2 linked regions of the Sus scrofa genome follow. The protein of the gene in region 1 interacts with the protein of each later gene in a pairwise test. Links are inferred from orthologs where the notes say so. Each region holds a gene or a part of one and is shown in the gene's direction. Other genes may lie near its edges.

What was found.
Region 2: the proteins of transducin-like enhancer protein 1 (region 1) and HES6 interact in binary tests that used the Homo sapiens proteins (3 or more experiments, as listed by UniProt). The link is inferred for Sus scrofa from reciprocal best matches to the Homo sapiens genes TLE1 and HES6.

What each region holds. Positions count from the first base shown.
Region 1 is NC_010443.5:234,282,699-234,298,213, reverse strand, and holds part of transducin-like enhancer protein 1, read left to right. Parts: intron 1-10,447; coding exon 10,448-10,697; intron 10,698-12,421; coding exon 12,422-12,669; intron 12,670-15,515. UniProt on the Homo sapiens protein: Transcriptional corepressor that binds to a number of transcription factors. Inhibits NF-kappa-B-regulated gene expression. Inhibits the transcriptional activation mediated by FOXA2, and by CTNNB1 and TCF family members in Wnt signaling.
Region 2 is NC_010457.5:137,778,760-137,794,518, reverse strand, and holds HES6 (transcription cofactor HES-6), read left to right. Parts: upstream 1-6,829; 5' UTR 6,830-7,064; coding exon 7,065-7,145; intron 7,146-7,226; coding exon 7,227-7,313; intron 7,314-7,415; coding exon 7,416-7,497; intron 7,498-7,706; coding exon 7,707-8,131; 3' UTR 8,132-8,711; downstream 8,712-15,759. UniProt on the Homo sapiens protein: Does not bind DNA itself but suppresses both HES1-mediated N box-dependent transcriptional repression and binding of HES1 to E box sequences.

The sequences.
Region 1 (15,515 bases):
GAGAATGTCAACCTGGACATTTTTCTCTCCCTCATTTCTAACTTCTCATAGCTTCTTTTTGTTCAAGGCATCATCCCTGTTCTGTACAACATCTGGGCCCAAACTTTAGCCTTTGATTCTTCCTTGTATAACTCCCATTTTTACTCAGTCTTCTTATTTGTTAAAATCCTCATGGAGATACTAAGTGAGTTTTCCGTTTATGAAATAGTTATCTGATCTGGTCTGTTTCTTACTCAGAAATCTTCAAAAGGTGCATATAAACTCCAAGGTAGCCCCTCTGATAAGGTAGCCTCAACCTGTTTTTCCAGCCTCATATCCTATATTCTTCGCATCTTATGCTCTGGCCAAGTGGGACAACCCCCTATTCCATGAAGAGTTCTCCTCCTTCCACCTGGAGCAACTTCCCTTCTCACCAGTCTTCACCTCTTCCTGGGGAAATATTTTCTGTCCTTCAAAGACCACCTCAAAGTCAGAAAAGACAAATGCATGTTTAAATAAATCACTTATATGTGGAATCTATTTTAGTGCAAAGGAACCAGTCTCCAGAACAGAAACAGACTCACAGACGTGGAGAACAGATTTGCGGTTGCCAAGGGGGAGAAGGGAGGGAGTGAGATGGACTGGGAGTTTGGGGTTAGTAGATACAAATGATTGCATTTAGGATGGATAAGCAATGAGGTCCTACTATATACAGGGAACTATATCCAGTCTCTTGAGATAGACCATGATAGAAGGTAATATAAGAGAAGGAATGTGTGTGTGTGTGTGTGTGTGTGTGTGTGTGTGTGTGTGTGTGATTGGGTCACTGAGCTGTACAGCAGAAATTGGCACGACATTGTAAATCAACCATACTTTAATAATTTTTAAGAAAAGAAAGAAAGAAGACCATTCAGCTGTTTGCTCCTTCATGCAGCCTTTGCTGATGCTTTCCCACCTGTGACCCCTCTCCTTCCCACATGTGATCCCTCTCCACGGACATTTTATAGCACTTTAGCCTTGAGTTGTGATCATGTGTACAGGTCCTACTTCTATCTGCTTCTTCCCCACTAGAACTGAAGCTTCTAAAGTTCCCTTGAGCACTGATTCCCAGTGAATGAATATTTGCTTCGTTGATGGGTGGAAGATGAGCCCAGGATTGTGTAAGACCCTGTGACTCATCCTCTTTCCAAAGGAAGTTACAGTTTGCATTTTAGAGATGGGTAGTGCTGACTTAGAAGCTGTAACCCTGACTGTGTTTCCAAACCCTCAAGGTGAAATTTAATTGCTATTGTTTGGTCAACTTTATTCAAGCTCTACTTCAGTTTCAGGAAATATATTCCCTGAATTCTGTGGAGATCACTGATTAAAAAAAAAAAAGAGCATCCTGAGGTTTAGACAGATTGACATCTTTGTTGTGCTTTGCACCACCCTCCCCTCAAGGTGTGTTCCTAGTCCCTTGGCACCACTTTTTCTCTCCATAAATTCCTGGGGGCCGAGCTCTACCTGCCTCGTATAGTAGCACCTAGAGGTCAGTCGTAACTCACACTAATAATAGCTTGGCTTAAGATTCCAGCTAAGTTCCAGATTCCTTCACCCTGTGTTTTAATGCCAGACATGTAATTGAGAAATCTTCCACCCACTTGTTTAGTGTTTAAATAAATCTTTAAACTGCCTTTTTGGAGTTGGAGCCTAAAGAGAAGAGAAAAGCTAAGCTACATTTGGGTAAAATTGCCTCTTAGGAAAACATGTTTTGCAGCAGTGAACAGAGGCATTCCTGGCTTCTGCCCGAGAAGGCGTATCTCAGGGGCCACCCCTGCCGCCCCGCCCCCCGCCTGATTTTGCTTCTCATTTCTCTGTTGACCATGACTAGATTCCACTGTTGGTCTATTTAGTGGATTTGAAAATTAATTCAGCATCCTCTTTACTTGTTCTGATATTTGGGTGTTTTTCGGTCTGTTAAGTGCTAAAAGTAACATGCTGGTTTTGTGTGATGTTATCACCATGTGGGTTTTGGTTTGACTTCTGTTTTTCTACCTTTTGAAGGTCTGGAATGTGAGGCTAATTTCTTAGGATTATATTGAGGTGAGAGGCCCTTCTGTTCATGTGACTTATGTTTAGCTGTTGCACAATTGTCCCTCCCTTTACGTCTCTCTCTCTCTCGTCCCTCACCTCTTCAGAAATGGCTTTCAGCTTACCAGGTGTAAGTGCAGTTTGTCTTTTTCTTGCTCAGATAAATACTGCTTGCCTGTCGTGGTTTGTTCCTTTGCTAGGATTTTTGAATTGAGCTTTGAAGTGGCCATATTTCAGATTTACCTTTGTCGTACTTTTCATCCAGGCATTTCTCGGTTTGTACCTTTGTCCTGCATAGGAGCCCTGTTGCTGCCCAGTATGTTTACAATTTGGAAACATTTAATTTATAGAGAAAGTAGGGCCTAGAGATCAGAATCGTAAATGCCGACTTTGGCCAGGGAACCTTCTAGTGTATCAGCTAGGCCGTCTCTTCTTGTTTGCTTTGTTTAGTAATTTTCTTTCTCCTAACTATTCTAAGAAGTTCTGTATCTGCATTGTTAAAAAATGAGAATAGCCGTGTATTCACCTAAATAAGGAAACAAACAAAGTCTCCTGTCTTAATGCTTTGAAGTCCTCAGCTTGTAATTTGTTACCAAAGCCCTTCGTTGATGTAGAACTGCTGTCTTCACATAGGGCAGGGCTTGCGCCTTGATCTGCAGGTTTGCTATTTGGGAGGATGCCTGGAAGTCAAACTGGAAAAGTCCTGTGGAAGAAGTCAAGGACTTCTCAGAGGTTATGGGTTAGATGTGCAGACCCTAAAACATGTTAAAGGTAAAGCTTGTTATATTGGCAAAGAAAGACATTTTGCCCTAAGTAGGTGATGCACCCGAAGACCCTTTTTCCCCTGAAATCTTTGAATAATATGGCTCTGATTTTCTTATGACTCCACATCATAGCACCCCAGCCACCACCTTCACTGCACTAGTTCTTGAGGCTGAGAGTATCCTCCAAAATCTTAGGTTCATATTATTCTCATTTGACTTAAAGTGAGCTAGATGCCCCAGTCCTCCGCCCAGGGCTCCGTAAGGAAGCACAGGGAAGATGCTGACACGCCTGGTGTTCTCGTTCTGTGTAGGGTAGGTGACTCCATCGCACTCCTGTGACCCTCTTGCAGTGAGAGTGTCAAAGGTAGTGGAAGCTACGGTAAAGGTTAGAGCCCCGCTTCTGTGCTTGGCCTGACCTCCTACTTTCGAGCAGAGTTGGATCAGTTACTGTCTCCTGTACTGCTTCCTCTCCTCTCTAAATAATAAGCGGCGGCGAGCTGCCCCTGTGACATGAGAACCAAAGGTTGCGTCTCTATTATGCTTCGTATTTTTCTGCGTGGACTGTGCCACACGATTTCATTTACCCCCTGCCTCAGCAGTCACATTTACAGGGTACGTTTCATCAGGGCATGTTATAAAAATAGGGAACTGAGGCCCGAATAAGTTCCATATGGTCCCTACATCTTATTAGTGATTAAACTGAAACCTCATCTGGGTCTCCTCACTTCCAGGACTGTCCTATATGTTCTTCAGCACCCGGGCTCAAGGAGCCAGCTTGTCACATGTGACTCACAGCTGCTTCTACTGCAGATGGTGTCTGAGGAGGTCCAGCGTCCGCTGGGCCCTGCTGCTGGGGAAGGGCTGTGAATTTCGTGATTACCATTGCTCTCTTTGTCTTTGTTTTGCCGGTGGCCAGTTCCGAGTCTCTGGGGACTGCTTTCCCTCCTTGGGAAGCTTGGTACTACCTATTAGCCAGGACGACTGGCTAATCTGGTAGGACAACTTCGGAACATCAGCTGGCAGATCCCTGGTGGCGAGAGGATCCCCACCTTCTTGGAGCTGACTGTCCTCGCCTTGATGGAACAACCTCTCACACCTTAATCTATTGTCATTCGATAGCAAATAGCAATATAGGGCATTTGGATTCATTTACTGAGGGCCCACTGTATGCTTGCGGGCGAAGTCATCCCACCTGTTCCCGGAGGACCAGGGAATGAGACAGACAGATGTAAACGTGGGCAGAAGTCCTCAGCATGATTCCAATTTATAGGATAAGCCAAGGCCCTGGAAAGGATTCATTCAGCCTGGGGGGTTATGCAGGCTGCCTGAGGGAAGGAGGAAGGGAAGAAGTGACATGCGCTGAGGAGGAGGCGGCACTGTTCTCCGCAGGAGGGAACAGTTTGTGTGCACTGTGAAGATGTGACAGCATGCGATATTTTAGGGGATTGGCCTGTTCCGGCGGCTGCGAGTTGAGGAGACAAGACGGTCACAGGAACCAAGGCTCCTTGACACTCAGTCGTGAAGGGCTCACTGACTGCTTGAAGAGCGAGTGAAGGTTTTGATGTGAGCAGAATTCTTTTGCATACCTGGTTGTATGGCAAGAAATTTTCCATTGAAAGGGCCAGGTCCACAGGCAGCGGGGCCTTGGCCTCAGCCGTTATCTCCTGGGTCCTTGCTTCCTCGTTACTGCTTGCTGGGTCTTGCCACTGCCAGACCTGTTTCCAGAAAGCCAGCACCTCTGAACACCTGTTTTCCTTTGGCCAGAGAACACAGCATGGTTTTATTAGCAGGAGCCTCTCTGCTAGGGAAGGACAACCTGATTCCCAGCAACTCTGTCCTGATTCCCCGTTGGCAGCGCCTGTGGCAACTCTGAGTTCCTTCACTTTTGCTGTGTGCCCTGCTCCAAAGGAGTTTGATTTCATTCAGTTTTTAAATCTGTGATGTTGGAGTTCCCGTCGTGGCGCAGTGGTTAACGAATCCGACTAGGAACCATGAGGTTGCGGGTTCGATCCCTGCCCTTGCTCAGTGGGTCAAGGTTCCGGCGTTGCCGTGAGCTGTGGTGTAGGCTGCAGACGCGGCTCGGATCCCTGCGTTGCTGTGGCTCTGGCGTAGGCTGGCAGCTACAGCTCCGATTAGACCCCTAGCCTGGGAACCTCCATATGCCCCGGGAGCGGCCCAAGAAATGGCAAAAAGACAAAAAAAAAATAAATCTGTGATGTCCAGGGGGCTTTATTCCCCTCACTTCTGCCACCAGATCTCAGAATTAGCTCCTGATCTGGAGTTGATTCGAGCAGCCGAGGTAGTGGTTGGGGACTCAGCTTTCTGAGGCTCCAGGAGGCGAGTGGGCAGCCGCTAACCAGAGCCTGAGGGGCTCTTCCTTTCTGCCCCACACTTTGTCCCAAGCCTCTCCGAACGTCCTCTGCTCCCCTTTGCCTGGTGCTATCTCCCCACCTCGCCTTTAAGATTTATGAACTTGCTGATTTTCCTGGCCGCATCATTGCCTCGTGTTTTCCTGGCTGCTTCCTTGCACTGTCCTCCCTTTCCGCATTCCTGGCCCTCACACTTGTCCACTGGTCGAGATAAGAGCCCTGGATTCAGCCTAGCCTCACTTTCCTCTTTTTAAGTCACGGGTGTTTCATAACGATGCTGTCATTTCCCGAAGGCCCTTGCAGGTGTCGAGCATAGTGTAACTGTTTTGCACTTTTGCAGCTGCTGTCTCTTTTAATCCTTACAACAACCCCTGCCACCCTTATATTTTATTTTTTTTTTCTATCTCGTCAATCAGGAAACAGACGTATTATAAGCCACAGGTAGTTAAGAGACCATAGTCAGTGGGGCCATGAACCCCGGCCCCGCATTTCAGGTCCCTTTAATGCCAGAGTCTAGGCTTTCACCCTGGCTGTGACCTAATCTACTGTGTTCATTGGTCGGAAGCCCTCCTGTTGCTTTTTTCTTGAATACACACATAAATCTAAGCTTTTCACATTGTGGTATACATGAGCAAAGTGCATGTATAGCCCCGTGACTCTGCACCCAGAGCCACCCAAGAAACCCCCCCATCCCCCTTCCACTTGCCAAGGGGAACCACCACCCTGACTTCTGATACCAGAGGTGAATCCTGCCTGTAAATGCAGCCATGCCATATGCATTCTTTTGTGGCAGTCTCTCTCTCAATTCAGTCTTGATAGCTATTTATGAACGTACATTATCTGTTTATAATTTCCCCCTCCTGGTTGATCTTACTTTTCCTAGTTCTTCAGTCAGTCAAGAGGGTAAGTGTCCTTCTGGAATCTCTTTAACATGGTCACTATCAAGGTAGGTATCCTTTTCTCAAAGACATTCTGTTGTTCCTGGAGGCGGATAGGTGAATAAGTGACTCCAGGCTGTCTCCTTTGCTCCCCTGGTTGTCCCTTCCCATCAGTCTCTCTGTGAGCCCCTCTCTACCCACCCCAAAGCCTTTTGCCTCTTTCGGGTTTGTTCATTTGATGAGGCTCTCCAGCACAGCGGGCAGCGCCAGCTTCCTCCAAGGCCCCCTGTGACTGATGTATTAACATCCATATGGGTTTCCCCTGGGACAGATGAATGTTCACAGCTTCTGGCAGCAGTTCGCTGTACTGTGAATCAATTTTAAACCACCTCAGTGTGATGATCACAGACCTCCTGTGCAGTTTAAAGACGAGGACACCTGGGAGAGAGGTGGGGCTCTTCCAGAGGCAAGCATACAGCTCTCCGTCTGTCCTCTGTGCATCTATTTTAATCTGGAACATTTAACTCTGTAATAAGAAGGGTTTCAATTGAAGCAAGATAACGTTTTCTTCCAATAAAAATCTGGAATTGCTAAAAGGGGATCTGATGGAGACTGCCTACCTGGAGGTGCCCACCTTGATTTATGGCAAATGGAATAACTAACATAATTTACATCTGCTGTTATTCTCACAGCACAGAAAGCTTTAAGAGGCAAGCTCTCTCCCCACGTCAACCACCATTTTCAGAAAAGACATTCCATTTGATTGTTTTATTTTATGAACATTTAGTGGTCATTTTCTCCAGCTCCATCTCGTTATTTGCTTGTTATTCTCAGACCCAGGTCATGGTGCCTGGTATCTGAGTCATGTAACTTGCTTCTGGACCTTGAAGAGTTCTCCTAGAATGTGAATAGACTTAAACCCCAGTCTTTTTTTTTTTTTTTCTTTTAATTTTATGGCTGCAGCTGCAACATTTGTAAGTTCCTGGGCCAGGGATTGAATCCGAGTCATAGGATCCTGAATCCTGTGGATGGGATTCCTAACCTACTGTGCCACAGCAGGAACTCCTTAAACCCAGGACACTGATACGATCCTATTTGATTCCAACTCCAAATAAATGGCGTAGGTTCAACTAACTATAATGTATGTATGTTTAAATATCATGTGCAGCCCTAAAAAAAAAAAAAAAAAAAAAAAAAGACAAAAATAAATAAATAAATATCATGTGGGCTTGATACGTTACTAAGGATATCAAAGGATACTGTGACATAAAAAAATAGGAGATTTAATCACAAAAAAGAAACAGATTTGCAGATGAAAATAACAAACTACTGGTTACCTGGGGGAGAAGAGAAGAGGGAGGGGCAATATAGGGGTAGGAGATTAAGAAGTATAAACTACTTTGTGTAAAATAAGGTGCAAGGATATATTGTGCAACACAGGGAATATAGCCAATATTTTATTACTGTAAATGGAGTATAATAACCTTTAAAAATTGAATCGCAACGTTCCCATTGTGGCTCAGTAGTTAACAAACCCGACTAGTATCCATAAGGACATGAGTTCAATCCCTGGCTTTGCTCAGTGGGTTAAGGATCTGGTGTTGCCATGAGCTGTGGTGTAGGTCACAGACATGGCTCAGATCCTGTGTTGCTCTGGCTGTGGTGTAGGCCAGCTGAAACAGCTCCAATTCAGTCCCTAGCCTGGGAACTTCCATATGCCTCGGGTACAGCCCTAAAAAGACAGAAGACAAAAAAAAATTGTGAGTCACTGTTATACACCTGTACCTTATGTAATATTAAATACCAACTATAGGAGTTCCCGTCATGGCGCAGTGGTTAACGAATCCGACTAGGAACCATGAGGTTGCAGGTTCGATCCCTGGCCTTGCTCAGTGTGTTAAGGATCCAGCATTGCTGTGAGCTGTGATGTAGGTCGCAGACGCGCCTCGCATCCCGCATCGCTATGGCTCTGGTATAGGCCAGTGGCTACAGCTCTGATTCGACCCCTAGCCTAGGAACCTCCATATGCCGTGGGAGCGGCCCTAGAAAAGGAGAAAAAAAAAACAAAACCACAATAAATAAATAAATAGAAAAGGAGAAAAAACACAATAAATAAACAAACAAACAAATACCAACTATACTTAAAAAAAATAGGAGATTTAGTGGTTTGGTGACATACAGGCTTTGAACTGTGGTGGTTTTTTATGTATATTCATTTCCTAGGACATTTGGTGTGGTTCCCATTGTGTGTAGTCAGTAATTCATATGAAGAGTAATGTTAAGGATTTGGGCCAAATAGCCATTTTATATTCATTATTGGAACCAGTTTACCAGGAGATTACATATCTTTTGGTAGAGGGAAGGGGAAATTCTTTTAAAAGTCTTTTCATATATTCGATATTTTTTTTTAGAAAGAAAATAATTGCATATGTTTTATTTGCAAGCCAGGAAGTGTGTGGGTTCTATGTGCAGGCAGGTAGAAACCTGATATCTTGTATCGGTTTTCAGTTTTGTGCATGCTAAGTTATTTTTCCAAATTTGAGTTAGCATTAAAATGAAAATTTAAGTTCTGTGTTAATAGCCATGGTCTTTAGAATCTGTAAAGGGACTGCAGGGTGCTAGTGATAAGTTCCAGAAAGAGCCTAGACTTATCCCAGAGGGTTATGGGAAGGAGGAAACTCTGCATATTTCATTTATTGTTTATGTGTACAGCAGACCTATAGAAAAAGTTGAATGTTAAACTTTTTTTTTTTTTTTTTTTTTTTGTCTTTCTACCTTTTCTAGGGCCGCTCCCGCGGCATATGGAGGTTCCCAGGCTAGGGGTCCAATTGGAGCTGTAGCCACCAGCCTACACCAGAGCAGCGTGGGATCCGAGCCGCGTCTGCAACCTACACCACAGCTCACAGCAACGCCAGATCCTTAACCCACTGAGCAAGGCCAGGGATTGAACCTGCAACCTCATGGTTCCTAGTCAGATTCGTTAACCACTGTGCCACAACGGGAACTCCTTGAATGTTATATTTCTAAATCAGCAAGTGATGGCTTTGCATAAGAAGAAAGTGAAAGCAGTGGTCTTCAGTGTGTCTTGTTCAGATTTGGATGGGAAATAGTAGCACTTCTATGTCTTCTTTCCTCTATAAGTTCTTTTCTTTGTGCATATTTTATAGTGTCTATAATATATTAGTGCTTGAAGTTTAAATAGATCGTTAGGGAACAAGTATGCTTTACGGTTTTGGGTGGAAGCATGCACTAGGATTAGGCTTATTGGTATTTACCAATAGCTTAAATAACATATAAGTTTATCTCTCTCCGTGCCCAAGGCAGTTATCATAGCACCATAGTGCCACCAGGGCCTCTGCCTCCTATCTTAATGTTCTTCCCCTCCTTGGGAATTGATTTTCATCTTCAAAGTCACCTCGTGGCCCAGAAAGGCCGCTGGAGCTCCAATTATCTTGCTTGTAGTTCAGGTAGCAGGAAGAAGGAAGAGGAGGACAGGAATACCCCTCTTCGTCTTTTTAAACCCTTTTTCTTTTCTTTTTTATTTAATTAATAAACTTATTTTTTAGAGCTGTTTTAGGTTCACAGCAAAATTGAGTGGAGAGGACAGATAGTTTCCGTGTCGCTAAAGGCCCCCTTTCTTTTAAGTTATGAACCAAGGGCCACCTGACAGTTTCTGCCCGCATCTTACCAGTCAGAACATGAGCACAGCTGGCTAAAGCAAAGCTGGGAAATAGTCTTTTGGCTGGGAGCTTTGCTGCCTTGGTTGAAACTGGGCTCTGTGGCCAAAGATCTTGTCGAAGAGGAAACTTGAAGTCTTTGTCTCAAAGCCATTTGATGTAGGAGAAGCTCTTATTTTCTCTGAATTAGGCAAAAGAGAATTTAAGTCCAAAACTTAAAATGCTATGTTTAGAAAGCTGTTGTTGTTTGTCAGTGTTGAAGCATACTGTTTACTGTGTGTAATTATTATGAGCTAATAGTATGAGAGCTTCATCTTAAGCATCAAAAATCATCACGTTATATCACTCTAGGAAATCATACAGTTATACAAGGTACATGGAGGGAGGTATTCTGTGTTAATTTGGAAGCACATTTCACTGTTTCATAATGGGTTTTGGAGGAATGTTTTATGGAACGAAGAAGCACAATTTAAACATCTTCTAAAAAATTTAAAATATAGTTCAGTTACACCCTCGACTGTGGCTATTATTTTGTTTGTTCCATCTGCAAATACTTCAATTTATATTGATTTCAAAAGGAAATCATAGCAAGCCTCTTTCCTTTGTGCAAGTGGTGGGGGGGTGGGTAATGACTAATGGCTTTATGATAAATGTGTTTTCTCTCTCCGCTCCTGTTCTCCTCTCCTCCCTAATCCTCTCCTTTCCAAAAGTGCCTACTCCTTCCACGTTACTGCAGATGGTCAGATGCAGCCTGTGCCCTTCCCTCCCGACGCCCTCATCGGCCCCGGCATCCCCCGCCACGCTCGCCAGATCAACACCCTGAACCACGGGGAGGTGGTGTGCGCGGTGACCATCAGCAACCCCACGAGGCACGTGTACACGGGGGGGAAGGGCTGCGTCAAGGTCTGGGACATCAGCCACCCTGGCAACAAGAGCCCCGTCTCTCAGCTCGACTGTCTGGTGAGTGAGAAGGCACCGGTGCACAAGGGTAATTTCCCCCTGGAGACTCAATAAGGAAATCGCTGTCGGGGCCTGGGTTTTATTCCCATTATGAGGAAATGGAAGCCCATTCTGTTTCCTGTGTTAGCTCTTGAGCTCTCCCCACCCTCTCCCCTCAGTGTGAAGGTTTCATTTGTTGCTATTTCAGTGATTTAAATCCCAGAGTTGATGGATTTCTCTTAAAAAATATTTTCACAGTAGTTTACAGAAGCTGTCCTTGTGTGAATGTATTCAGAAGGGGGTTTCCCGTTTAATGGATGGAGCACAGCTAGGCCTGGACTCTGAGCCCTGCAATCCACTCGACTTGTAATTTCCCTACAGCCTTAGGATAAATATTGAAGAGTAAACATTTGATAACGTGGCATAAAACCATTCTGAACAGGGTCTGTGTTTTCAGGGAGACCTGGCTGGGTTTTATGATCTTAACTTCAGGAAAGAGTTAATAGATCACAGTGAAAAATCAGGGCGGTCATCAGCAGAGTGGGGGTGGGAGCAGTGCTTCCCCAAGGCACCAGTCTACCTTCCCCGAAGTGTGACAATACCGTGTTGCATTTCTGAGCATCATAGTACATGTCTCGACATATTCTCTGTGCAGTGACCACAGGATTTATGGACCATTTGCCTTTGGCCATAGGCAGACTGCAGGCCGCTCTGCTCCTGTAGGGTGTCACTTTGCTGTGGCAGCTGGTTCACTGTCCCCGCTGCCTGCCTGGCAAGTGAAATGGCAAGGGTTCCCAAGACGGTGTTTCCAAAAAAAAAAAAAGCATGATTGTTTTTGCGATGGAAAGACTCTTTGGGATAGTTCTTAGTTTATTTTTTCAATCAGATAACTTAAAAATATCTCCATTAATGAAATGTAAACATAGGGAAACATACATAAACATCGACCAACAGACTACAGTGGTAGGAGAATTTTGTAACACTTCTCTCCTTTTTTGAAATTGCGTTGCTTAATGTTTCTCTAGTCTTTGAACAACAGGCCACAGTTAAAGCATAGTAAAGACTTGACCTGTATCTGTTGAGTTAAAGGATAGCAGTTATTTCTTTCGGGGGCAGGGGGTGTTGTTTTAAGTCCCACCTCCTTTTTTAATGTGTTGTTTTTGAGAGAGATATGCCTTCTTTTATTCATTTCTTTGGCCTTTGGATTGAGAGGCTTAAATATGACAGCAGCCTCGTTACATCTTGAGAAAGCAGCTGTTTGTTAAATTCTTAGACAAGGATCCATCTGGCTAATGAAGACACAGTACAAGCCTTAGGCAGAGAGTTAAGGGTAATGAAAACCAAAACAGAGGCAGCAGGTCTGCCATTTCTATATAGTAAATAACGGAGGGTGATGAGGTCAAAGATTTATAAACGAGCTTTGAAAAGTGGTTTCTGCACGGAGAAGTACATGGGCACCTACCTTATGTCTCCTGATCCTTTGCAGTTCCGTCTACTCGGCAGGAAATTGGGCATCAGAAGCAGTTCTGGGTAACCACACATGCCTGAGCAACCCTGGGTGTTTGTTTACTGCTTCTAAAGAGCCAGTGGCCATCAGATCCTGATCTTTATCACAAGACTCGTGCTTTGCTAGTGTCCATGCAATACCACTTTTTTAAGTCAACAGCCAAGATAGCAGTTGGAGAAAATGGCATTGTGACTGCTTGGTCATGCATTATAGCAATTAAATTATGTTTATTTCACAGAACAGGGATAACTACATCCGTTCCTGCAAATTGCTCCCTGATGGCTGCACTCTCATAGTGGGAGGGGAAGCCAGTACTCTGTCCATTTGGGACCTGGCGGCTCCCACCCCACGCATCAAGGCAGAGCTGACATCCTCGGCCCCCGCCTGCTATGCCCTGGCCATAAGCCCTGACTCCAAGGTCTGCTTCTCCTGCTGCAGTGATGGCAACATTGCCGTGTGGGACCTGCACAACCAGACGCTGGTGAGGTGAGCAGAGGTGGTTTCCCAAGGGGAGGCTCCCTCCCGGAGTACTTGGGCCAGAAGGCCCCCTTTTATTCCTACTTCTCTGGCTGCTGCCCTCAGGCGCTCAGCCCACGCATTAAGAGCCTACCGTATGCCAGGCTTGGAGTTAGGAATAAAAAGATGAAACCGTGTCACCGTCCTCATGGGGCTGGGGCTTACGGTCTTGCTGCTGTGCTTGGATGTCACTCAGACTTTATATTTCCTTCCCTCATGTTCTCATTCTTCAGCCATGTACAGATGCCAGGTTTGTTTAAAAAACATTCCTGCCTCTTGCCAAAGGGTGGCATACCATAAATTAGATGGAGGTACCAAAGGTCTTCAATACTAGATGTTTTTGGCTTTGCTTAGACCCTCCTATGTGAAAACAGGAGCCAAGTGATAAAAGAATAACAGAAAATCAACAAAAGAACATTAGAAGAGGAGATTCCATGAACTTTACCCACAAAATGGTTTAAGAGTATCGAGTGTTTCTCAATAACTAAATAATCCCTGTCCAGGTGTCATTTTATCCAGGAGCAAGCCCAGCTGCCTGGAATCTACCACCTTCTCCTTGGCTTTGGTCAGCTCACCCCCTCTGGCAAAGGGAGCACTCACATTAACAGTATTAGAGAAAAGCCTTTAGAAAAGGAAGCATTGGAGTTCCCGTCGTGGTGCAGCAGAAATGAATCCGACCAGGAACCATGAGATTGGGGGTTCGATCCCTGGCCTCAATTAGTGGGTTGAGGATCCAGTGTTGCTGTGGGCTGCGGTGTAGGTTGCGGACGCGGCTTGGATCCTGCATTGCTGTGGCTCTGGCATAGGCCAGCAGAAACAGCTCTGATTGGACCCCTAGCCTGGGAACCTCCATATGCTGCAGGCACAGCCCTAAAAAGACAAAAGACAAAAAAAAAAAAAAAGGAAAGAAAAGAAAAGGAAGCACGAAATTAAACATCTAAGGCAGAACAGGCATGTGTTTCACCCTTCTGTGTCACCTTCACTCAGAAACATGGTTCTTGACACAGTTTTAGACACATGAGTCAGCAGGGCTCCTCCAGTGCTTCCGCGCCCATAGCTGGAGGGAAGGGACGGATTAGGGAATTCATTTTAGCAGCTCACTCTTTCTTCAACCTCATCTGTAGAAATCCAGTAAGTGTCACTGGGCCAGGCTCTGCCCCTACGTGAGGGTGATGGCGCAGGAGTTATTTTTCTTGTTGCTCACTGGGCAACTTAGAATGAGCAAAATGGACAGATGGACAGATGGAGCCAGAGCCAACAGCCTTTTCAAACTTTGAGCCTAGCAAGTGTTGGGCGATTTTTCTTTTCTTTCTTTTTTTTTTAATTTAATAAAACCACTTCCAAAATATTAATTCAGAGTGCTTTTTTCAAATGTTAATCTCTTTAACCCTAGTTGCTTCTTCATTGCTGTTATCCTGATTTTATCATGGAGGAGCTGTGATAGGGCCCAGGCACCCATCTCCATTGGGTGTGCTCTGAACTTCTCTCTTTGCTGACCGCCAGGGTCTCAATACCTGATGGCTATGACAGAGTCCTGCTTCACAAATCTCAGTTTGGACTAGCCACACGTGGCTAGTGGCTACTTTGTGTGACATGACAGGGCAATGCAGAGTCTACTGTTTTTTTTTTTTTTTTTTTTTTTTTTGTCTTTTTAGGACCACACCCACAGCATATGGAAGTTCCCAGGTTAGTGGTCGAATCAGAGCTGTAGCTGCCGGCCTGCACCACAGCCACAGCAATGCCAGATCTGATCTGCATCTTCGACCTACACCACAGCTCGAGGCAACACCAGATCCTTAACCCACTGAGCAAGGCCAGGGATGGAACCCACACCCTCCCAGATACCACTTGAGTTTGTTACTGCTGAGCTACGACAAGAACTCCCTTAATATCTTGCATCTGCTGTGACCCAGAGGAGCCTGAGGACAGCACCGAGATAGGTGGATACAGGGATGGAGAAATACCCACCGGGTGCTTAAGTCAGCAGAGAAAAATTTCTATATTCAAGGAATCAAAGTATTTCCTGAGTTCCAGAGGTAAAAGGAATTCGGAAGATGAAATGAAGAGGGAGGTCCCTGGGTTTCAAACGCTATTTGAAGGCAGAAAAGCAGCAGTTTGGAAACGGGTGGGGGGAGTGTGCGGCTACTCCAGGCCTGGGGGACCAGAGGGGAAGCCTCAGAAGGAGAGTTGGGTGCATGGAGGAGAGGACCAGGTGGAAGTTCTGAATGGTTTTCAGAGGTGACTTTTTTTTTTTTTTTTTTTGCTTTTTTTAGGGCCACACTCCCAGCATATGGAGGTTCCCAGGCTAGGGGTCAAATTGGAGCTGTAGCCACTGGCCTACACCACAACCACAGCAACACCAGATCTGAGCTGTGTCTGTGACCTATACCACAGCTCACGGAAACCCTGGATCCTTAACCCACTGAGTGAGGCCAGGGATTGAACCTGGGTCCTCAAGGATCCTAGTCAGATTCATTTCCACTATACCACTATGGGAGCTCCAGAGGGGCTGTTTTTGATGTGGCAGTTCACATCTTATCTCTGAATTCAGGGCACTGGGGTTGCTCTTGTCTTACCCTCCATGCCCTTTAAATTTTGGACTCAGCTTTCAAGATTGCCGCTCTGTGAGAAGGTAACAGGAAGGGGAGGCACTGGAAACTTTTCTCTGGGTGTTGAGGTTCCCACGAAGTACTCCTGGATGCTGCCTGCTTTGCCGTCCTCTTCAGGCCTCCGAACACCTCTCTCTGGTTCCCGGCTCTCCCCTGCCAGCTCCCTCTTGGCATGGACCAGACCAGACTCATGACCCCCAACCTTCT
Region 2 (15,759 bases), on another chromosome or scaffold:
CGCGGACGGCAGCCGCTGACCTGGGGGCTGCATCTGCATCCCCCAGATTGCTGTGAGTTCCCCACTCCCACCGCACCCTGAGCTGGGACCCTGACCCTCATGCTTCTCACGAGCCTGACCTCAGTGGTGCAGCTTCCGGTCTGTGCGGGGACATCCACTAGTGTCACTGGCACTTTCGGGTGAATGGGACCCTGGGGGAAGAGCGAGACCAGACTGCCCACCTTTTGCGAAACCTCATAGTGCGTCATTAATCCCAAAGGTTGTTTGGAACAACGTTATCTTGGTCCCCAGAGTGAATGAGCAGGTACCAGTGGCCAGACAATCGACTTAGGATTGGACGGAGTCTAGAAACTTACACGGAAGCAGCCCTTGCCTGGTTCTTTGATGGTGAAGCATCTGCTGGAGGAGGTGTCGTCTCCTTGTAATCCACTTGGGTTTTGTGGGCCAAACCATTTTACGCCTGAATATCAATCCTATTTTTCATAAACTCAGACACAAAAAGATTTTTTTTTTCATTTACAAAGTAACATCACCTTCAGAGGCCCCAGACGAGGGGTAGCCTGTGCGTTTGTGTGGAGATGAGATGCTACTAACGTTCCTGCCTCTCAAGTCAGATCATTAAGGGATTCGCCGATAGCCAGGGCTGCATTGATGTCACCTAAACACAAAACTGCCAAAACATTCTCTACTGTCACGAATGTTCCCCGTTGGCATTATCTCACTCTTCACACATACCTGCCCGTTGTTAACTGTGTAGCTTCAACCGTGTGCTGAGAAGTTGACAATAGGAGCATTTGGTGAAATTGTTTACATGGCGCCATGCATCGTCTTACGTATTCTTTCGTATGTGTGCTTACGCGGGTGTTATAGAAACTTCTCAATTTGAAACTGAGCCTTCTTTTTAATATATTCCTCAAAAGAGATGTAAATAAGCTCTCAGAGTCTGTGTCATGACATGTTAGGCCTTGCCGGACAAGTGGTTTGTTCACGCACAAACCGAACTTTCTTCACCCAGTGCAATATGTTTGTTGGACTGCTTGTGTCTTTTTATGACTTTTTTGCCTTTTAGAAAATTGGTAAATAAAGCAAGTATATTTTTATTTTTTGTGTGTATTTTTAACATAGCACAGAGAAAAGGCTGAAGATCAAAGATTATCAAAGGATTGTTTTTTTAAAAGAATGCGAGAGGGAGGGAGTTCCTGTTGTGGCCCAGCAGTAACAAACCCGACTAGTATCCATGAGGATGCGGGTACTATCCCTGGCCTCTCTCGTAGGTTAAGGATCCAGGGTTGCTGTGAGCTGTGGTGCAGCTCACAGACGTGGCCCGGATCCCACATTGCTGCGGCTGTGATGTGGTGTCACTCCGGCAGCTAGCCGGGAACTTCCATATGCCGCCCTAAAAAGGAAAAAAATAATAATCCTAGAGGGAGTTCCCATTGTGGCTCAGTGGGTTAAGAGCCCAGCGTCGTATCCATGAGGATGCTGGTTTGATCCCTGGTCTTGATCAGTGGGTTAAGGATCCAGCATTGCCACGAGCTACAGCATAGGTCGCAGATGGGGCTCAGATCTGATGTTGCCGTAAAAAGAAAAAAAAAAATGTTTTCATGTATAAATAAACAAATAAAACCCTGGAAATTCTGGGGTAGGGACTCTTCTGTTGCAAAGGCCCCCCTCGGCCTCTCACTGGCCGCTTGCCGTCTGTGTGACCGACAGGCCGCCCCCAGCTCAGTGAATGCTGATGGAATGATGTTGATGGAACACTGAGAGTCAGTCCCCCCCTCCCCGAGGTTTCCACTCCCAGAGGGGGCATGGGGCCACGCAGCACAGCCGCCGGTGCTCCTGTCCACCCAGAGGGGACCCCAGGCGCCTCCTCCATCCTGTTCCCACCCTGCCCACGTAGTCTGTCCCAGCTGGGCTGGCTCCTGCGTGCTGGCCACAGGGTTAAAGGCAGAGGGCTGACGGATCCAGGGCCAGAAAGGTGAGGCAGGCAGCCGGCCCAGCCTCCTCCGCCCAGGCCCCGTCCTTCCTCGCCCTGTGTGAAGCCATGCGGGGCCTGGTCCAAACAGCGGAGGCCCGATCCTCCCTCCTCCCACTTTTCGCCCCAGGGCTGCGGTGGAACTGGAGCAGGGCGATGAGCGGATCCTGGACCTGGTGCCCAATCTTCCAGAAGCTCCCTGAGCAGGAGGGAGGCTTGACTCAGCCTCCTGGCCTGGCCACCGAAGTCCAAGTGGTGGAATTCCCGTCGTGGCTCAGTGGAAACGAACCCGACTAGTATCCATGAGGACGCCGGTTCCATCCCCGACCTCAGTGGGTTAAGGATCCGGCGTTGCCGTGAGCTGTGGTGTAGGTGGCAGACACGGTTCTCCCGCATTGCTGTGGCTATGGTGTAGGCTGCAGCTCTGATTTGACACCTAGCCTGGGAACTTCCACATGGCATGGGTAAGGCCCCAAAAAGACAAAAAAATAAAATAAAAAGTAAATAGGAGTTCCCGCCGTGGTGCAGTGGAAACAAATCCGACTAGGAACCATGAGGACTCAGGTTTGATCCCTGACCTCACTCGGTGGGTTAAGGATCTGGCGTTGCCATGAGCTGTGGTGTAGGTCGCAGACGTGGCTCGGATCTGGCGCTGCTATGGCTGTGGTGTAGGCTGGCAGCTACAGCTCCCATTAGACCCCTAGCCTGGGACTCTCCATATGCAGGGGGTGCGGCCCTAAAAAGACAAAAGACCAAAAAAAAAAAAAAAAAAAAGTGAGTAAGTCTAAGTGGCGATTGGGGGTGGGGAGGCTGGGCACACAAAGGCCAGGTCCCCAGTCTGCAAACTCCCTAAATGGCCATATATGGCTCTTTCACTGAACTTCTGCGTGCCCTCAGGGGCTCCTAACTGCATCTTTATTTCCCACATAACCCCAGAGCCGCCCCTCCCCTTTATTTCCAAACCAAAGGCAGTTTCTCCAAGCCTCGGGGCTGACTGCCACAAGGGGCCTGGACATCCATAGGCTGGCCACCGCCTTTGTTCCCTGGGAATTTATGGCCTGCCACTCCTGCCGTGAACTGGTCCCCCTGTGGACACGGCAGCCCTACCCAGCCTCTGCTGGCCTCTGCTTTTGGATGTGAGGGGATCAAAGAGCCCAAATGCTCAGGAAGTCTGTGCTCAAGCAACCTTTGAAGGTGGAATCAGTGCAAGGGACAAATGGCAGGAAGCGGTCTGCTGGGGAGGCCGTGCAAAGGAGGGAGAAAGGGCTTGGTGGCTTCCAGATGAAGTGCCCAGGCTTCTAGGAGGAAAAGGCCTAACAGCCCAGCCAGGGGGCCCACTAAGGAAACTGAGGCCGACTTCAAAGATGAGACCTTGGGCAACTTCTAGTCTAAGCAGGAAGGATTTTGCGGACTCACACAACCTGCCCTATTCCTCCACTTTTATTCCCCAAGGTACTTGGTCAGACGGAGGCACATCCCAGCACTTAATTTCTCCTGCCTTCAACTCCAGACAGTATTCCTCGATCCCTCACCCCATGTAGACAAGGCTTTTGAGACCCCTAGCCCTTCGTCGGCCTCCTCCCTTCCCCTGACAACTGTAACCTGTCCTTTTGTTTTTACAAAGTCAACGTTATAGTCTGCAACCATAATGAAGCCTTCCTTGCCTTTTCTAGATTGATTCTAAATGTCGAAGCCCTATGAAGAGCGTTACATCACTGGGACTGTGAAAGAATTGGCTCCTGGGCCAAGTAAGTGCTAAGACTACATTTCTCTTCTTGGGCGGCTTTTGGGTTTTCCCGGAGTTCCTATGGCCTTTCATTTTTTGCCTGCACCATTTGCCTTTATCGTTCATCCTCCACCTCCTACATTCAGCTCCCCATCCAATCAGGAAAAGACCACCTTTCCCAGAGGGCCTCCCTAGGGCCCTGAGCATCCTGTACCAATATGAACCTGCCTTTCAACACAGCATTCTAAAATACTTGTGTTCAAACAATATAATCAGTAATGGGAAGAGTATGGATCAGAATACAAGAAATATCACTGAAATTACTTTTCCATACCTGAGTTTCTCAAACTAGTGGAAACTTTTTTTTTTTTTGCCTCATCTGCAGCATGAGGAAGTTCCCAGGCCAGGGATCAAACCAAGCCACAGCAGTGACAATACCAGATGCTTAACCCACTAGACCACTAGGGAACTCCCAAAGTAGTGGAACTTTCATTGCAGTTCCTTGGGGGGTGAGGGGTGGGTGGCTCTCCTTCCCTGGGGTGATGTCTAAATGGTCCAGACAAGTCAAGTCACAGGCCAGCTATTGGCTCTCTCGGCATCTACCACCCAAGCCCCTCCTCATTCTGCCAGCCTCACCCAGGAGTACAGGGGGAAGGGCACTTGGGCCTCTGACCAGGCTGGGGAGGATGGGAGGAAGAGAGCCAAGCTTTGGGCTTTTGGGGGACACAGGACAACAGGGGGCGATTGAAAGAAAGGAGTGGGTTCATACCTGGGGGAGCAACGCAGCCCTAGGGACGTCTCGGGGCCCTGCACACAGAAGAGCAGAGACAGGGAGTTCCCGTCGTGGCTCAGCAGTAACAAACCCAACCAGTGTCCACGGGGACATGAGTTTGACCCTTTCCCTCACTCAGTGGGTTAAGGATCCGGTGTTGCTGTGAGCTGTGGTGTAGGTGCAGACGCGGCTCGGATCAGGCATTGCTGTGGCTGTGGTGGAGGCTGGCACCTGCAGCTCCAATTTGACCCTTAGCCTGGGAACCTCATATGCCACATGTGTGGCCCTAAAAGGCAAAAAAAAAAAAGAGAGAGAGAGAGAGAGGGAGGGAGGGAGAGAAAGGAAGAAAGAAAGAAAGAGAGAAAAGGAAAGAAAAGCAGAGACAGCCAGGTGAGAATTGGCAGAAAGGGCCCCCAGGTAGTTATGAGGTTAGTGAGGTGACTTCGAGAACCATCAGGCACCTGACCAAACTTGCCCTCCCTGTGGAGGTCCCTCTGGTGGGGAGTCTTAGGTGAAATAGTCACCTGAATAGCTGTCAGACCCATCTTCATGTATTTATTTATTTTATCTTTTTAGGGCCGCACCCATGGCATATGGAGATTCCCAGGCTAGAAGTCAAATTGGAGCTGTAACTCCCGGCCTGCCTGCGACCTACCCCACAGCTCAGGACAACACAGGATCCTTAACCCACAGAGCGAGGCCAGGAATCGAACCTGTGTCCTCACAGATATTAGTCAGATTCGTTTCCACCACACCACGACGGGAACTCCAGATCCATCTTCAGACCTCAAACCGACCTCTGTAACTACCTGGGAGCCCCTTCTGCCCGTTCTCACCTGGCTGTCTCTGCTCGACTTTTCCAGTCTGTGGCCTAGTCCTACCACCCAACCACACTTCAGTCTCTGGAGTTTTCTTTGCCCTGCTGCCTGCCGGCTTGGCTTGGGACATCTCACCTTCCCACCCACCCAGCGCTTCTGCTAGGCCAGGCTCCTGCTCAGGGAAAATAACGGGTCCCGGTGAGCACCTACCCCCACCAGGGACACTTATCCCCTGGAGGGGCGAAGAGCAGACCCTGACAATCCCAGGCCCGGGAGAGAAGCAGAGGACTGAGCAAGGGCAGGGCAGGTAGAGGGCTAGGGAAGCTGAGGCCTAGACAGGGAGGAAGGAGCCACCCAAGGGGGGCCCCAGCCTGTTCCAGGTGCAAGGATCCGTGTGTGCAAAGGCCTGGCGGCTAGAAGGCAAATTGGTATTCTGGCTCTGCTGGGGGGTGGTGAGACCCAGCAGCGGCCAGGCAGGGACCCACAGGGCGCGGCCCCACCCACCACGCACCCCACCCTCGGGGAAGCCGGGCCAGCAGATGGGCGGCCGGCCTGGGGGTGGCGGTCGTCTAGCGGCCACAGGCGCACCCACCGCCCGCGCCCGCTCGAGGGACAAAGCGGGCCGAGACAAAGGCGCGGCCAACACCTGTCGCTCTTGGCTGGGCCGCCGCTTTTCTCCGCTGAAGGGGCTGCAGCTGCCAACTGTCACAGGCATCAAGTTACGGCGACCAGACGGCAGCCTCGGCCAGCCCGGCGGGGCGGGACGGGGCGGGGGCAGAGGAGGGGGGAAGGGAGCCGAAGGGGGAAAAGAGGGGGACGAAGGGGACAAGAGTTGGGGATGGGGGCCAAGGCGAAGGAGCAGGAGTGGGGGACCAGGGAAAGACGTGCAGTGGGGTGAGGACCAGGGAAGGCTGGGAGGGGAGGGAGGGCGGGGGTCAGGGAAGGGGGTGCAGAGAGGGTAGGAACTAGGGAAGGGCGAGCTTGGGTTGGGGACCAGGGAAGGGTTGGCGGTGACAGGAACTAGAAAAGGTGGTCGGCAAGGGGCATCACCAGAGAAGGAGAGCCTAAAGATAGAGCAGTGCGGGCGGGGCCGGCGGAGGCCCCCCGAGCAGGCAGAAGATGGCAAAGCTTGAGTCCGCAAGAAACGCAAGGTGGCCTCGGGCCCGCTCCCACCCCTGCTGCCCTGGGGGCCCTCACCTCCCAGGAACTCCGCAGCCACCCCAGCCGGACCTGTAGACCTCTCTCCAGGTCGGTAGACGGCGGCCGGTGCGGTGGTGCCCTCATGGGATTCCTCTCCTGTTGCGCCTTCGGTCAACAAAGTCAAGCGTGAAGGAAAGAGTGAATGAATGATGGGTGGGTGAGCTCCGGCTCGCACACACAGCCCACCGGCGGACCTTGCTCAGGGTAGGAAGGCAACCTAGCGCACCTCGGGCTCCAGCGCCCCGGGTCGTCGCCCCCTCGGGTGCCCCTCAGCGCTGGGTTCGCCCAGAGGCGGGGCTGGGCTCCCCACCCCCACCGCGCCCGCAGGCCACGCCCTGCCAGCTGCCGCGCGACCCGGCGGCGGGGCCAGACAAAGCGCGCCTCTCTCATTGGCCCGGGCGGCCAATCGGTGCATTGAGATGCAAATAAGGCGCTATAAAATGGGCGGGCGCGACCGCCGGCGTAAGGACGCGGCGTCAGACGCGGGGAGGCCGGGAGGGCGGCTCCCGGCCGCTGAGCTGCGGGCAGCGCGGGGGGCTTCTAGCGCTCTCCGCGGTCTGGTCGGTGTGGGTGATGGCTCCGCTGCTGGCGCCCGGCCGGGACCGTGCGGGTCGGGAGGATGAGGACGGCTGCGAGGCGAGGGGGGACCGCAAGGTGCTGGCTGTAGCCGCGCGTGGGCGAGCGGGCGGGCGGGGAGCCGTGCAGCGCCGGGGCTCAGTTGCTCGCTTCCCGCAGGCCCGGAAGCCTCTGGTGGAGAAGAAGCGGCGCGCGCGGATCAACGAGAGCCTGCAGGAGCTGCGGCTGCTGCTGGCGGGCGCCGAGGTGAGACGGGCGGGCGCCCGAGGGCTGCGGGCGGGCGGGCGGGGGTCGCGGGCGGGCCGGGCCTCACCGCCCCTCCCCCACCGGGCGCTCCCGCCCGCGCAGGTGCAGGCCAAGCTGGAGAACGCAGAGGTGCTGGAGCTCACCGTGCGGCGCGTGCAGGGCGCGCTGCGGGGCCGGGCGCGCGGTGAGTGGCGGCAGGGCGCGTGGGCGGAGGCGGGGAGCGCGGTCGCCTGGCCTGCCCCTGCCCCGGACCCAGCCAGGGCTTCCCGGCCTGAGACGGGGTGCGCGCTCCCCACCTCTCCTGGGTGAGTCACCGTCCGGGTGGGCCGGGCCACGGCAGTGGCAGCTCACGGGGCCCGGCGCGGCTCTCTCCCCTTCCATCCTCGAACGTAGAGCGTGAGCAGTTGCAGGCGGAAGCAAGCGAGCGCTTCGCCGCCGGCTACATCCAGTGCATGCACGAGGTGCACACGTTCGTGTCCACGTGCCAGGCAATCGACGCCACCGTCGCCGCCGAGCTCCTGAACCACCTGCTGGAGTCCATGCCGCTGCGCGAGAGCAGCAGCTTCAGGGACCTGCTGGGGGACGCCCTGTCCGGGCCACCGGGAGTCCACGGGCGGAGCAACTGGCCAGTGGGAGGTCCCCTGGGGTCCCCACTGCCCAGCCCGCGGGGCTCCGGGGACGACCAGTCCTCTGACCTGGAGGAGGCCCCAGAGGCTGAACTGAGCCGGGCAACTGTTGAGGGGCCAGAGTTGGTGCCCGTAGCCCTGGGCAGTCTGACTGCTGCGCACATGGCCCATAGTGTCTGGAGACCTTGGTGACCAATGGCCAGTTTGGGGTCTGCAGGGTGGACCCTGCCTTCTCATGCTCTAGTCTCTCCTCCCTGGGGTCCAAGTGTGTCGGGGCAGGGTCCTGGGTCTCTTGGTTCTGCCACCCTCCTCCAGAGGATGGCTTGCCGTGAACAGCAGGGATAACCAGCCCAGCTAGGCCGCTAGCCCTGCTTCCTGAAGGAGTAATATTTATGGACCAGCCCCTGGTGGGTGCAGGGAGGGACCTACAGGCAGGAGGAAGGATCTTGCAGGGTCGCCAGGGCTCTCCGGGATTTCACCTGTCCCAGACTTCTCAGGCACTGTGTGGGTCTGGGGGCAAAGGTGACAGCAATGCTGAGCTGGGCACGGGTGTCCTGGCAGAAGGAGACCTCGGGCCCTGGCAGCCCTGGTCTGAGCAGAAGCTCAAACTTGCCATTCAGCCAGGACACAGGGAGGCATTCTGCAGCTTTGCCCAGAGCTGCCAGAGAGAAGCAAGGCTCCCTGTATGTCTTGCATTTAGCACACTTGAGTTCGTGTAGTAGGTTGCCAGCGTTTGTTCCAATTCTGTTAAATAAAGGATTTTGGAAAGTCAGTGTCATTAATGTGCCAAATGCAGAAATACGAAACCAAGCACATTTTTTCCTGTGTCTAATGCTGTGTTTTTAGGACACCTCGCCCTTGGTCAGCAACATAAGTAGGATGATGGCAGTGCAGATGGGACAGCTGTGGCAGGTCTCACAGTGGACAGTGCTTCTACCTCCCTGTGGCCACGTGGTTCCAGATGGGTTTCCCCTCAGGTCCTCAGGCATGGCCCACCCTCCCGGGAATTGGGTGCACCCTGGTGGTGGATACCATTGCACGAGTCGGTCGCCAGAGCAACAAGCTCTAAGGAAACGGCCTGTCCCTGGACCATTCTGCTCGTGAGCTTCTGGGAATGAAACGAATGCCTGGTTGCCGGCCTTGTGGTTGGGACGTTCCTTTCAAAAGTCTGGGTCCATGAGTGCGATGCAGATGGTGATCTACTGAGGTTGTCCCTTTTCTTGATTGAAGAGGCCGCTTCCCCAGTGCCAGTGACCTTGGGGTCGGGGAGACCCACCCAGTTTCCCGCCTAGGCAGCTTGAACTTGAGGTCCAGTTGGGCCCAGGAGGTCAGAAACCTTGAAAGGAAGGGGATGCCCCCTTGGGCTGGGTCAGGGCCCGCAGAGAGCCTGTGGTCCGTTGATAGGAGCCACTGCCACAGAGGGCCCAGCCCTGCACCTCCCGCCCCAGGACCCCAAAGCAGCTTGTTGTTGTCCTCACTTAGAGTTGGCAATGCCCAGGTGGGGTCAACGTGTGACAGTTGAGGATTGACACCTGGTCGCCTCTTCTGTGTGTGCCCTTTGCTTTAAGAACATCTGTCCCGGAGTTCCCATCGTGGCACAGCGGAAACAAATCCAGCTAGGAACCATGAGGTTGCGGATTTGATTCCTGACCTTACTCGGTGGGTCACGAATCTGGCGTTGCTGTGAGCTGTGGTGTAGGCTGGCAGCTGCAGCTCCGATGAGACCCCCTAGCCTGGGAACCTCCATGTGCCGCGGGTGTGGCCCTAAAAAAAAAAAAACCAACTCTCCCCAGAGCCCTTTGAACAAGAGCCCCTCAGCAGGTCCTGGCCACCAGGGGTGTTTCACCATGGCTCCCCTGTGATCCAGTCTTAGGCCTCAGCCACCAGGCTCTAACCAGATGCACCTTAATTTTAGTGACTGAGATGAGTTATGGAGGGGGTGAGGTGGCGAAGGCAGGTCCATAAAAGAGCTCAAGAGAGATGGAGACATTCCTGGGATTATTTTAATCGGCCAGATAAATTGATAGAGGTCATGTCCACCAGGTCCACCTGTGAGACCTCTGTCCCCTGTGACTCCCAGCAGCAACCAGAGGCCACTGTCATGAGCTCTGATGCCATTTGGGGAGCATCAGCCAGGGACTGTTTAGAAGGAACCACTCTTTACACTGGTGCCCAGACTTGGCACATCCTCCCAGAGGCCGTAGGAAGGGAGCCCAGGCCATGGGGTTCACAGTACAGGAGGCTGGGAGTTCCTGCTGTGGTGCGAGGGGAATGACGGAGTCTTGGGAGCGCTGGGATGCGGGTTTGATCCCTGGCCCGACACAGTGGGCTAAGGATCTGGCTTCACCGCAGCTGGGGCTTAGGTCGTAACTATGGTTCGTATCTGATCCCTGGCCCAGGAACTCCCAAGCAGGGGCAGCCAAAAGAGGAAGAACGACAACAAAAAATACAGGCGGCTGAGCTGGAGAGAGAGGTGTTTCCGACACCAGGGCCCTCCTGAGGTCAGAAGCCACTAACCCAGAACTCTGGCCCTGTGCCCCCGCCCACCCGTGAGTCAGCTTCCCTGAAGCCCTTGAGAGAAGCCGCTTTTCTTTCTCAACAAACGTGGCTCCCAGAGCAGAGACCACTGGCAGCCTCCGTGGGGCCAGGGCAGCTTCTGCCTATTGTGCAGCCTGGGCCCACTGGTTTCCAGCCTGCTCTCCTTCCTGTTCTGCCGGACGAGCCTTTCGCACCCCCTCCTCTCAAAGCCCCTCCAAGCCCTCACAGCCTTGCTCTAGGTGTTTGGTAGCCCTGCTTCATCATTCCTGGGAACTGCCTCCTTCCCACTTCAAACCCCTGGCTTGTGGTATTAGTCTTCTATGAATGCCATAAACTGCCACAAACTTGGTGTCCCAAAGCAATGTGACTGTATTCTCGGGCAGTTCCATAAGACGTCTGAGACGACTCACCAGGCTAAGGTCAAGCCAGAGCTGCACTTCCGGCTGAAGGTTGAGGGTGACTCCCTTCCTTTTCCCACCAGAGGCCGTCCACATTCCTGGGCTGGTGGCCCCCTTCCTCCAGCTTCAAAGGAGCCACGTTACACCTGACACGTCTATACCACATTTCCTTCTGACCCTCCTCCACTGCCCCGCTGGTCTCTCTACTTGTAAGGACCCGTGATGTCTTTGAGGTCACCTGAATAATCCCTGCCTCAAAGTCCTTAACTTTTTTTTTTTTTTTTTAGGGCCGCACCTGGGGCATATTGCAGTTCCCAGGCTAGGGGCAAAGCGGAGCTGTAGCCACCAGCCTACGCCACAGCCACGCCATATCATATCTGAGCTGCGTCTGCGACCTACACCACAGCACATGGCAATGACGGATCCTTTAACCCACTGAGTGAGGCCAGCGATCAAACCTTTGTCCTCATAGACACTAGTCAGGTTTGTTAGTGCTGAGCCACAATGGGAGCTCCAAGGTCCTTAACCCTCAAAGAGATCTGCAAAGCCTCTTTTGCCATGTAAGGCGGCCTCGTCATAGGCTGTGGAAATGAGGGTGTGGACATTCTGGGGAGCCATTACTCTGCTGACCACACCCACCTGCGCCTCCGCCCAGGCATTCTGCCTTCCACTGAGATGCAGGGCAGTGCCAGCCCTTCACACAGGATTGGGGTCCGTACCCTCTGACCTGCTCCATGGACCCTGCTCTCTCCCAGCATCGTCAATGGCTCCTCCCTTCTGGATCATTCTCATCAACCTGGGAACATCTAGCATGGACCTCAGATGTCTCGGGCAATAACCATGCCATGGACTTGGTCACTCGTTGAACCCTAAGCTTCTGCCTTCCGTCCGCTCCATCCCAGGAAACCTGTTTAGACCGCTTCAGGGTCTCCTAGGTATTGTCCTACCATTTCCTTCCCAGTCGCGTTTCTTGAGAATAGACTCCTTTCTTAATTTCCTCACCTGCTTGCTCGTCACACAATTTCAGAAAGACCCACATTGCCCACAATTCTCCTGAAAACTTCTGGTGTGTCAGGATGGCCAAGTGGTCTAAGACGCCAGATTCAAGCTTCTGCTTCCTGCCGAAAACTCCTGGTAATCTCCAGTGAGTCCTGATGGCGCTTTGGTTTCCATCTTACCTGTGTTACAGCATCTGACCTTGTCCATAACTTCATGCTTCTTAAAATGCTGTGCTCTGCTAGTTTTCTCACTTTCTCTTCATTCCTGCTCAAGTTCTAGGCAGGGCTGTTCCCAGGGCCCCCACCCCACCCCATAAATGGCATGTGCCCCGCATTCCCTCCCTCAGACCTCTTAATCTCGAGACCAAGCCTATGCGGTCTCCGCGGCTTCGCCTGCTGTGCCACTGACTCCAGCAGGGACATCCAGCCCAGGCCTCTCTGGAGCTCTAGTTTGCCCTCGGATATCCCACGGGTTCTTCAGACTCAGCAAGCCCCAGCCTGAACTCAGCCTTTCCTGCAAAGCCTGCACCTCCTTTCAGAGTCTGGACCCCCAAGAGCGGCATCGTCACCCATCAGGGAGAAACCCCCTTTTCCTTCAGCCCCACCTGCCAGCAGCGTCCAGGAACCGTCATTTCCATCTCTCTCTCTTTTTCGGTCTTTTTTTTCTTTTTTCAATTTTTGGCTGCCCTGCAGCATGTAGAGTTCCTGGGTCAGGGATCAGATCTGAGCCGCAGTCTCGACCTAAGCCAAAGCTACGGCAATGCTGGATCCTTAACCCGCTGTGTGGGGCGAGGGATGGAAAAATGCATCCCAGGCTTCCAAGGCACTGCGGCTGATCACATTGAGCCACAGCGAGAGCTCTTGTTTTTTTGTTTTGTTTTGTTTTGTTTTTTTCCAATGGCCACATCTGGGGCATATGAGAGTTCTAAGGTCAGGAACTGAATCGAACCATGGCTGAGTCCTATGCCGCAGCTGCATCAATGTGGGATCCTTTAACCCACTGCACTGGACTGGGACTCAAACCTGCACCTCTGCAGCAACCTGAGCTGCTGCATTCGGATTCTTTTTGTTGTTGTTTCTTATTTATTTTGCATATAGTAGTTTGTCTTTTTTTTTTTTTTTTTTTTTTTTGTCTTTTGTCCTTTTTAGGGCTGCACCCACGGCATGTGGAGGTTCCCAGGCTAGGGGTCTAATCAGAGCTGAAAACCGGTCTACACCACAGCCACAGCAATGCTGGATCCTTAACCCACCGAGCAAGGCCAGGGATCGAACCTTCAACCTCATGGTTCTTAGTTGGATTCGACGGGAACTCCATGCACTCCGGATTCTTAACCCACTGTGCCACAGCAGGAACTCCCATTGCTACCTCTCACGGGTGGAGTGAAGGAATGAATGAACAAGCTTGCACCTTATCTTGCCCCTTTCTCTCTGTCCCTCCTGCAACATCCAGGATCTTATCTCTCACCCGGAGAACGAGAGTGGGCTTTAAAAAACTCTCTATGGCTAGTATTCCCTCCGAAACCTAAGTCCTTCCAAAGCCCAGCACTCTGCAGATGAGCAGGTGTGGTGAGCCCCGACTCCCCGGGTTGGCTGGGGAACTTCAGAGCCTGCCTCTGCGCCTCATCCTCTTCCCACCCCTGCCAGCAGTTAGTGTTGCTGTGCTGCCGGCTCTCTGCTCTCCTCTCTGCTTGCCTTCAAAGTTGGCTCAGATTTGGGAAGCATTTCCTGGTCTCCCGTGGTTTCATGCAGCTTCCAAAGTTTCGCTTGCATTTCCTTAATGGTGTATATTTCAGACACTGTTGATTCATTCCACGATAGTTCTTGCATGCCTGCTCTTTCTTTGCCAGGCATTATTCTAGTTGCCAGAGATAAAGTTTCTTCTCAAGCTTATACTGTAATGAGGGAACCAGACAACAAATATGTACTCTGGCAGACAGTGTTTACCAGCCAAGAGGAGGAGGAAATCAGGCCAAGGTCAAGGGGGTAAGGAGGGATGGTGTGGAAGCAGGGGGCACATTTCAGTAAGTTGATTATAGAGCCAGCTTGTCTGTAGGTTTCGTTTGAGCAGAGAACAGGGGATGTCCTGGGAAGGACTGTTCTAGGCAGAGGACGTAAGTGCAAAGGCCCGGAGGCAGGCGTCCCTGAAGTCTCCTAAAAAATACCTGTATTGGAGTTCCCTTGTGGTGTGGCAGGTTAAGGATCCGGCATTGTCACTGCAGCAGCTCAGGTCACTGCTGTGGCACGGGTTTGATCCCTGGCCTGGGAACTTCCACATGATGTGGGCAGCCACCCCCAACCAAAAAAAAAATCCCACACCTGTTTTCTGTAGTTATTGACCGGTACTAGGTACCAAGGGACTGTATATAAAATGCTCTATTCATGTGGCCTTATCTGTTCCTTACATGTCACAGGAACTCTCCCAGGCCAGGTGTCAGTATTCCTAATTTCACAGATGAGGAAACTGAGGCTCAGGTAGGTCAAGTAACATTTTGTTAAACTAAAAAAAAATGTATTTCTGGCTGCCCTGTGGCTTTTGGACTTTCTGGGCCAGAGATCAGATCTGAGCTGCAATTGTAACTGATGCCAAAACTGTGGCAACGCCGGATCCTTTAACCCACTGTGCAAGGCCAGGGATCAAACCTGCATTCTGGTGCTGCAAAGATGCTGCTGATCCCATTGTGCCACAGAGGGAACTCCTAAGCTAGATTTTTGTCATAAAAGGAATACACGCTTCCGGGCAGCTTGGGGCATTACCGAAGCCTGCACTGCAAGGTCCAAGTCTCCTGTTTTATTCTGCACCTTTGTCCCCTTGACAGGGGTGTCCACGGTTCAGTTTCCTGGGTGTCCTTTCGGGTGTTTCCCATGCATCTAGAAACACATACGTGTAGGATAAACATCTTTTTATGCAGATGGGGCCATTCTGCAATTTTTTAAGCCAGCAATAGAATCGTTTCTTCAACAATGTCATCTGTGCACCTGCTGTGGGCCAAGCACTGTCCTAGCCACTGGGGACACAACGGTGAGGAGGAGAAAGTCCCTCCCCCCCGGGGCTTCCGGCCCACCCCGGCCCTGTGCGCAGCCCTCCCGAGGCATCTTAACCCTACAGGCTGCCCTCCCCGTCCCGCACCTAGCAAGCATGTAGAAAGGATTTCCGAGGTTTTGCAAAGATCAGTACTCAGCAGAGAGCCTGTGTACTATGCCATATGAAGTTCTATGGACATTTCTAGAATTAAAATGGCTGTGAAAAATGGTCAGTCCCTGAAAAATGGGTCAATGTTGTCAGATGGTGCCCTGGAAACCATCTCGCTTTATACTCCAGCCTCAGGTGAGGGTGGCGGCTCTCCACGCTCTCATTAATAGCAGGCATTCCTGGAGTTCCCGTCGTGGCGCAGTGGTTAATGCATCTGACTAGGAAACATGAGGTGGCGGCTTTGACCCCTGGCCTTGCTCAGTGGATTAAGGATCCGGCGTTGCCGTGAGCTGTGGTGTAGGTTTGCAGACACAGCTCGGATCCCACGTTGCTGTGGCTCTGGTGTAGGCCGGTGGCTACAGCCCTGATTCGACCCCTAGCCTGGGAACCTCCATATGCCGTGGGAGCGGCCCCCAAAATGGCAAAAAGACAAAAAAAAAAAAAAATCAGGCATCCCTATTTCACTGATCGACTGCTATGAAACCTTTTTTAGGGGAAGGAAAGCGGTTAAAATCGGGGGTTGCCTTTTGGCACCTTTTGCGATCACCACGTTTCCTTATTTTTGTCCCTTGGCCTAGTAGGATGAGATGTGCTGTGACTGGGATTCAGCAAGAATGAGCCAGGCTTGGGGTTTTGGTTGCAAATCCCAACAGTCACGGTGGGGCAAGGTGGTTTGTATACAACTTTTGCAGGATT